Linked DNA regions of Oryzias latipes. The protein of the gene in region 2 purifies or fractionates together with the protein of the main gene of each other region. This does not show direct contact. Links are inferred from orthologs where the notes say so. Each region holds a gene or a part of one and is shown on either strand. Other genes may lie near its edges. The genes, in order: fbl and ddx24.

Region 1 (4,351 bases), on a different chromosome or scaffold from region 2:
TTTGCGCGGTTTCGCAAACAGGCGACCCAGTTCGGGGGGGAAGTGCGCCCTCTGCTGGCGGCCAGAGAGTGCGGTTTCTCTGTGCTGCAGACCTGGCGGATGTCTGCCCCTGCCCCGCTAGAGCCCAGGTCAGGTTAGCCTGGACCAGCTGTACCAGGGTTAGGGATGGATCACATTGGCTCAAGCTAGGTTCTTTGAAGGTTAGCTGAACAATTTGAAACGGCAACAAACCCCACAGTAACAGGTTTGATCCACACTGTCGCTTCTCTGGGTTTGGCATTAGCCCACCTGAATCTGGTGCAAACCAAGGCCAGACCAGGCTCTGCTGGCATGCAGATGAACCAGAGGATGGCTGGCTTCCGCGTGCACACTGACGTCCCACAATGGAGAGAACCAAAAGCTGGATCCTAAAGCATCTGTAGGCCATCAGTAAGGAACAGTTGCAGAAGCTTAGACTGGCACCATGGGCTCCTTCTGACTAATAGGGATGCCTTCGTGTCTCGTCACTCAGCGACTGAAGCAGATGCTGGATGAAGTTCCAACAGCGTTGGGACAGATGGGAAGAGCTGAATGGGACATTGGTAAACATGTGGACACGGAGTTCTTGACATGTGCTCATTTCAAACAGTAACAGAGAAATTAGAAGTTTCTTCTTTATTTAAAAAAAAGGAGAAAAACGGCTGGGTTCAAATATATATTTTCTCATCAACCATGCAATCTGATGGACTGATAACCAAATGAAAGTGGTCTTCCTCTCACGCCTGGAGAGGCTCCTTAAACAGTTATAGGTTATTTCCATGGAGAGATCCACAAACATCCATGAAGGGATGAGCGAACATGTGAGTCGGACCACGCTTGTGACAACTGAACCTCAAAGCGTTAGCAGGTTTCTTAGACAGCAGTAGGCTGAAGTCGCAGCGAGTAACCACGAATGACACCTTTCCAGCCTCGTCTAGTCAGAGAACAGGGCTGCTTATTCCTTTGAGGAAGTTAGGGCAACCAGTCTTTAGTCAGAGGAGGGGGGGGGGGGCTCAGGACTTTACAAAAGCAAAAAAACACTGAAGAAGAAGGGAAGAAAAAAAAGGTAAAAACAGCCAGTGTCAAAGGTCTTCTCGTTCACCTCATTTCTTCTGCTTTGGTGGCGGTCTGGAATCAGAAAACAGAAAGACGTCACTTCTTTGACATTGAACCCAATTATCCAATTATCTGACGTCTAAAGATGTTGGATTTTTCATGAAACACAAACATCAGATCTCCTTTAGCCAATCACAGCAGTTCACAGTTCATGAGATACCAGATCATCCACAGAAAGCCAGAACATACCAGGATGTTTTCCCCTTTATCAGGTTTTGTTCTACATCAATGAGATGCAGTAAATGAAGTGAGGAGAGGATGTAACCATCATGTCCTCTTTGTGGAGTACAAATGTTAAATCTCTGCAGACATTTTACTCTAAGCGCTGCAGCGTTTATAAAAAACAGAAGTTTAAAGACGAACATGTGGGTCAAAGGCTTTTCTGATTGCACTTCCACGAGTTCTTTGCTTCTACTTTTTCTTTTCTTTCCCTGTATTTAGATGTTAACGGACACAACATTCCTTTGTTTACTGATAAAAGTTTACTGTAAATATTAAACGAAATGCCAAATAAAGAACATTCACTCTTCAAAGTGAATGTTTTTCGTTTGCAAAAAGGCTCCTTCGGTTAAACACAGTGATACTGAAACCAGCGCCCGTCTTCGTCTCTGCAGCATCACTGACGGTCAGAGATGACTTGTGCTATGTCCTCACCGGTCGTGTGAAGCGTGTTCAAGAACGCAACGGGCATTCTTGAACACGCTTTTAGCAGACGGTGTTGCCCATTATTGGCGCATTCACTCACAGTTGGACAAGTCTACGTGGGAAATGTGGAAACGGTGCTAATCGGGTAAATTTTGCTCCAGACTTTCTTTCGCAGCTCTATTCCAATATATGAAAGACTTTGTGTCATTGAATTCCGGCCGGACACTAAACCACAGTTATTTTCTCCTTCACGATCAATTTTTATACGATTGGCACTTCCGTGTTTTGAAAAGGACGCCATCCAGACGTCGCCATCAAAGAGTCCCCGATTAGTCAAAGTTCAACGGGTTTAAACTAGTGATGCGCGTTCAGTGGCCGTGCATTTTGTACACTGAGCCCAAAAACGGACTTCCAAAAAACAAGGAAGCCTTAAAAGCGCATTTACTTTTCAGTGGAAGCAGTTGCTTGAACATGCGTTTCTGAGCCCGGTGTGAACGTAGCTTCAGAGGCTGCATGTTGACAAGCCCCTGCTGTTCTAAATACAGACCAAAATGGCAAAATATGTCAAATTCCTGTTTGATTTTAGATCAAAGCGGTTTAAAAATGGAGCAGTGTTCTCTGGGTTTAGTAGCAGGACGTGCAGCAGCGCAGGCTGTAAGCATGTCTGATCCTCTGAAATGTGTTACCATCACCTGCTGGTACCCACTGACCCAAGCCGTCAAACGTTCCATACTTTACCTGTAGATGCCCACCACTACCGCATGGTCCCTCTCATAGGGCTCCAGGGTGAGCTGCTCCTGCGGTTTCATGTTCTCTGAGCTCATCTTCTTCACTTCTGACGCAAACACAGCCTCTGGAGCTGCTGTGGAGTCGATGCAGTTGGCCTGAATCAGGAGAGAACTATGATCAGAACCGAACAGATACACACAAAACACGGATTCCTTCTCAACACCACATCCTCTCCTCATCCCCAGGGTAGTGCGTCTCCAACGGAAATGTGAGCCGTCATACCTTAATGGAGATGACAAAGTGTCCACCATTCTTCAGGAAGTTGTGAGCATTAAGGGCCACGATTCTGGTCTGGTCAGGCTGAGCGACGTCAGCAAAGATCACGTCCACCATGCCTGCAGAGGAGCACAGCGCCAACGTGAGGCCGGGGAGGAGAAGCGCTCTGTCCGCACAGCCGCTGTGCTGAGGCACTGACACCTACCAACCAGCATGCGGTACTTGTGCGGATGGCGGGCGTCTTCGATGATGGGGATGATGTTGGTGCGTTTCTTAGCCACATTGAGGAGATCGCGGCCAGATCGGTGGGAGAATTCCACTGCATAGACCAGCCCCTCCTTAAAACAAAAACAAGATCCAACATGAGTCTAGAGGGGGCGGAGTCAGACGGTTTATTCTGACAAAATGTGTCAAAGCTGCATATTGATCAAACCACATATGGGTACTGACAGCAGTGACGCATTTTCACAACAGCAACAACAATGCGATTACTTCTGAAATGTACTTACTGGCCCAACGATGTCAGAGACGTGGGACACCGTGGTTCCCGATGCGGCTCCAAGGTACATGACCTTGGCTCCGGGTTTGATGTGAATCTGGTCAACTCCTCCAAGAATGGCAGCTGCTAGTTTGGAGCGGAAAGGATTCCAGGCTCTGTACTCAATCTTAGTATCACCCTCCTGATCAAAAACAGGAAATCCACAATCATCTTCCAGAAGAAAAATCCACCAAGTCCAGCTCTGCTGCAGAAGCCAGCCAAGAGTTTACGTCATCTAGCAGGAAAGGATCCAAACATTTTAAAAACAGGAGTTATGGTTTCAGTTTTTACACTTTGCTGTTGCAGGGACCAGAGGCTGAGGGTTAACCAACCCTTCAGCACTGGAGCTACAGGGACAACCTCACAATACAGAAGCGGCTCTTTACCTCCACGCTCATCCTCTTCTCCCCGTACACAGACTCTCCCACCACCATGTTTTTGGTGACGAGGGCATCCTCCTTCCCTCTGCAGATAAACACCCCTGGAAGAAACCACGACCCAGACCGTCAGACCCACATACATAACCTCCTTACATCTTCATTCTGAAACGCTCAAAGGGCCGTCCCACTTAACCTTTTAGAAAAATACACCTTTTTACACCCATTCCTTTGTAAGATTTACCTTTTAAATATTTCTAAAATCTTATATTTTTCTATAGATAACATCTGGAACTTCTTTACTCTTTACAGCAGCAGATCTGTGTTCCTTTCAAAATAAAGTGCACGCTGTGTCAAATAAGATCCTTCTGATGCAGCAGATTTACTTACAATAAAAATACACAAAAAACAGGTCAAACGTGACATTTTCTGTCATGACTTTGGTGCGCTTTCATCCTGTTTATTTCTTTTACTGTCAAAACTAAACATAGGTGTAGAAAACAATTTTTTAAATCCACTCGTGTAAATGCAAAATACAGACTTCAAAAACTCTGAACAACAACCAGACATCGTTGTGCGTTGTTTAAACCTCTTAAGACCCAGGCTAATGTTTGAGATAACCCTCGAATCAAGTAATTACAGGGCTCAGTTT
Region 2 (4,542 bases):
GTGGATTGCATTCTAGGATAACCAGCAAAGAATTCAATCTTTTGATGCAATCAATACTGTTGGCAAAAACCATGGTGCGGCCAGGATACTGGAGCAGGAAGTAATATAGGTAGAAGTCCTTCTCATCCTTCTGACAGTGGATCTGTGTCTCGGTCAGGGTCTCCACAGTTGCCTCTTTCCGGGTGAGGTCGATGACTTTAGGCTTGGACTTAATTCCTACTTTTTCGATGAGAATGTCCAGTTTGCTCCTCTTCTCCAAGTTCTTCTTCTTCTGAAGGAGGCGGCTGGGCAGGCTGTGCGTCAGCGTCAGAGTGGCAGAGAACACAAAAGTCTGCCGTTTGGGGTTGAAGTGTGTGGTGTTGAGCATCTCCAGCAGGCTCTCCAGCTCGGCAAAGTGTCCTCTTTCCACCATGCGATCAGCTTCATCGATCACCAAACACCTGGATCGGGAAGAAAAACGCAAAAGTGTCAAACAAAACGGGTCGGTCCCCAAAGCAGCAGAATCCGTAATGGAATCCGTAATAGGTAGATTCTGCTGCGATTTCAGGAATAAGAGGTCGTTGGTTCCATTGAGCCTCCAATACCAGCATTTTTTGGGGTCAGAAACCTATAACTGAACAACATAGTAGAGCTGAATGTAGACATTTTAACGTGCTGGACCATCATTTGTAAGCTAGAAAATGCAGCTTATAAGGAAGTGTGAAACTCATTATGTGGAAAATGTAGACAAAGGTGTTTTAGTTTGTAACCAATGCAGCTCTTACTGACCTAAATGTACGGTAATGACTTGATGACCAATCATTTATTTAAATGACAACAATTTAGATTTTGACAGACTGAAAGGAGATCAATATCAGTGCGTTTGAATGGTGACAAACCGGAGGTGTCTGAGGTTAAGCAGATGAGGATGCTTCTCCTTAATCAAGTCCCACAAACGTCCAGGGGTGGCAATAATGATCTCTGGGCAGCGTTTCAGCATCCTCTTCTGTTTCTGCTGGGCCATTCCCCCCACCAAAATGGCTGTCTTGATGTCTGGAACATGGAAAAAGCAGCTCATGGAGACGTATTCCAGCAGATGCAACGATCAGCAGAGATCTCCTTCCCATTTGTTCAGAAATTCTTTGCAAATGGGCTGTGTTTGACTGTTACAACTCACACAACATTGATGTAAACACTTTTTTTTGCTTCATTAGATATGTTATTCTGAGCTGAATGCGGTCACATGCTTCCTTGAATGGAGACTCACCAGTGAATTTTGTGACGGCATCAATGTGGTGTTTGACCTGAACAGCCAGCTCTCTGGTGGGAGTCAGGACCATTCCCAGGAGGGGCCGAGACCGGCCACCAGCAAGTTGTTCTTCCACACAGCGCTCGGCATTTTTGACCGTGCAGACACTTCCTGTTTTCTCATCTTGATCCTCGCTGCCATCTTCAGCTGAGCTGTCCTCCTCATCTGAAGCCTCCACACTCCCCTCCTGGTTCCCCACAGCTGTGGACTCATCTTCTGATTTTGCAGACTCCTCCACTGATGGTAAATATAAACTCACCACCTTTGGGGGAGTTTTGTCGATGTTGTCATGAAGACTTTGTTCTGTGCCGCGCTTCCATTCTAAGATGGCGTGGATCATAGGAATACCAAAAGCTAACGTCTTTCCACTTCCTGCAACGACACCCAAACTTCACGTGAGAACATGTGGAAACAAAGGGGCAAAAATCAAGACTTAAAAAAAAAAAAAAGTATTTTAGCTCACCAGTCTCAGCTGCACCCAGGACATCCATATGATCTCTGATGGCTGGGGGTAAAGCTAAAGCTTGAATGGGAGTCGGTGACTCAAATCCCAGGCTGCTGAGAGCCTTCAGCACAGAAGAGGGAACGAACAAGTCCTTCCACGCACTCACATCAGATTGTTTGTCATCATCAGAGCCACAGAGTGCAGCAGAGGTCCAGTTCTTTGTCTGCTTTTTGATGGGTTTTGTCTTATTTTGACCTTTATTCAAACCTTTTGTTTCAGATGGAGAATCCAGCTTTGGCTGCTCCTCCGTGACGGGATCTTTCTCTGAATGATTCTTCAGTTTCTTTTTCCTTATTTTTTCTCTTTTTGGGGGGTGTTCTTGTTCACAGAGGTCCTCACTGATCTCATCCTTCCCCGCCTCTTTATCAACAGCCTTGTCTTCTCCTATTGCATCCCCACTTTCCGATCCCACAGATTCCTTTGGAGCCACCTTTTTCCCCTTCTTTTTCTTCTTTGCTTTCTTCTTAGCTGGCTCAGCAGGAGTCTCTCCAGCTTCGTCTTCCTCCGCGACTTTTCTTTTCTTAGCCACCTTCTTCTCTCGTTGAAGTTGCTTCGCTGCAGCTTTCTCGCTGTCTATCAATCGATAATCCCTCAGCTCTTCAAAACACACCAGACCCTCCAAACCCTGCTCCGAGAACACACTGGGATCTATTTCGACCGCTTTCCATGTTCCTTTAGCGCGGATGCTCCGGGTCTTTAACCTAAACGAGCTGTTTTTGTTTTGAGCTTCCACTTTCTTTGTCTTCATTTTTCTCACTTTTTCTACAGTTTTAATACATGTGAATTATCTTTGATGCTAAAGGTGAAGACGAGTGAACCTGTGAGATCTGACACGAGACGTTTCCGTTAGCCTTTACGTTTGACGATGAGCGCAACTGATTGTTTACAACTTACTGCTAATGCATTGAACAGGCTTTTTATATTATTAACAAGGAATACAATGGTACGTTACCCGGATTCGATGGAGCTTTATGAAGTATCAAAATACACGCACAACCGTTAACAACCATGCAGTTCACGAGGGCGCAGCCATGACAGTGCTGATCACATGTTTTGTAAAAACTTTATTTAAACACAGGATGCGTACAAGCCCGAAAAGAAGGGTGAGAACGATGATTGTATGTGGAAGAGAGCATCTCATTTATGTCCAAATGTATTCTCTGCTATATAAACAAGAAAACATTTAACAAAGCAAAACCTGCTAAAATGCTTTAGTTTTTCACATTTTAATGCAATCTTTTTGTTCAACCCATGGGATAAAAGCTTAAAGTCTGCACTTCAATGGCATCTGAGTTGTTTAACTTAAAAGTCACTGTGGTAATGTACAGAAACTAAATTAGAAAAAACGTGTCTGTCCAAATATTTATGGTCCTGACTGTAGTTCGTGGTTGCTGATACGACTCATTTTGAACAATCCGATTCACTGAACTAAAATCAATCCAGGTTTTAATCTTTAAGCCGAAATATATCTGGGTACTAAACAGTGTAGGTGAAGTTTTCCAGATTCCTTGTATTTGTTTGTGTTGTCCGCTGTGATGGTACTTTGTTGTTTTTACGTTATTGTAAAATGAACCCACAGGGCCTCAATCCAGATGGGATTTTCCAATATTGATACAATCCATTTATTTAATTTTGAAAGGATTTTATAATGGTTTAGGTTAATTTGATTAACAACTTGCCTCAGGCAGACTGATCTGGCTGGAGAATACAAATCAATTAATCGACTAAACTGATAAATCGTTACGCCCCTATTTGTAAGTGACACTACAAAACAACAAAATTGACCTGGATTTGCAGGTCAATTACAGAAAACATGTAAAGAATTCAGATGTTTTTTGGAACTGAAGGGGCCAAACTCATCTCTTGATAAACAGCCCCACATCATAATACTCCTTCCACTTAACGTGACACTTGACTTAATGCAACCAGGAAGGTGATCTTCTACTGACAACTGCCAATACCTGTCTTAACAATAATGTTTGCAGATGAAGAAATCATATACATCACTTGAGAGAAATCATCTCTCAAGGGAACAACATTCGTATCATAATATTTAAGTAGATTTCTTTTTATATTAATATTTTTTTATTGTTTTGTTTTTATTTTAAGAGGATAACATCTATGTATCAATGTAAAACATAATTCTGTCCACAAATATTTACATGAGATCTGATTTTTACCCTTCAGAAATACCATTTAGTTGAAACTGCTTTAATAGTAAGTGAATAGACAATTCTTAATCATTATTGTATTCATTTCTATATAATTCATGCATATAATAGTATTTAGCAGAAGTACACTAAAAAAAAAAGATCTGTGGTAGATTCAACCACTAAAACACCTTTAAAACTCATATTTCGCTTTTTAAATTGAAAAAATTCATTGAATCAAAACAAAAAACTCTTTATTCCTTTATAAGTTAAAAAAGTTCATAAGTCATTAGTTGTACTAATCAGTAAGTTGTTTATTGACTACACACTAGAAAAGCAACTGATGGTAAACTCTGGAAAACATTTATTATTATTTTTTTTTTAACTAATTTTGCATGATTACATTTTTAATAGTTATCAAAGCACCAGTTGTAACAAAGCAAAGCATGATTAAATAAAATTGATTAAATACAAAGACAAGAATCAAAGTAAATATTTGTTTAAGGCTTGACTGGAGGATTTTACAGAACAGGCCTTCGGAATTTCAAACAGAAAGCAGAAGTAAAACGTCATTCATAGCTACAGCAGAGCTCAAACAG

The links.
Region 1: the proteins of ddx24 (region 2) and fbl purify together in Homo sapiens (affinity purification with mass spectrometry; 3 studies listed by BioGRID and IntAct, with this or other methods). This does not show direct contact. The link is inferred for Oryzias latipes from reciprocal best matches to the Homo sapiens genes DDX24 and FBL.

Annotation. Positions count from the first base shown.
Region 1 is NC_019874.2:7,462,102-7,466,452, reverse strand, and holds the end of fbl (rRNA 2'-O-methyltransferase fibrillarin), read right to left. Parts: intron 3,804-4,351; coding exon 3,709-3,803; intron 3,465-3,708; coding exon 3,294-3,464; intron 3,123-3,293; coding exon 2,990-3,122; intron 2,904-2,989; coding exon 2,791-2,903; intron 2,664-2,790; coding exon 2,518-2,663; intron 1,147-2,517; coding exon 1,122-1,146; 3' UTR 640-1,121; downstream 1-639.
Region 2 is NC_019880.2:12,476,913-12,481,454, forward strand, and holds the start of ddx24 (ATP-dependent RNA helicase DDX24), read right to left. Parts: upstream 2,863-4,542; 5' UTR 2,746-2,862; intron 2,621-2,745; 5' UTR 2,542-2,620; coding exon 1,752-2,541; intron 1,661-1,751; coding exon 1,247-1,660; intron 1,033-1,246; coding exon 879-1,032; intron 441-878; coding exon 1-440. UniProt on the Homo sapiens protein: ATP-dependent RNA helicase that plays a role in various aspects of RNA metabolism including pre-mRNA splicing and is thereby involved in different biological processes such as cell cycle regulation or innate immunity.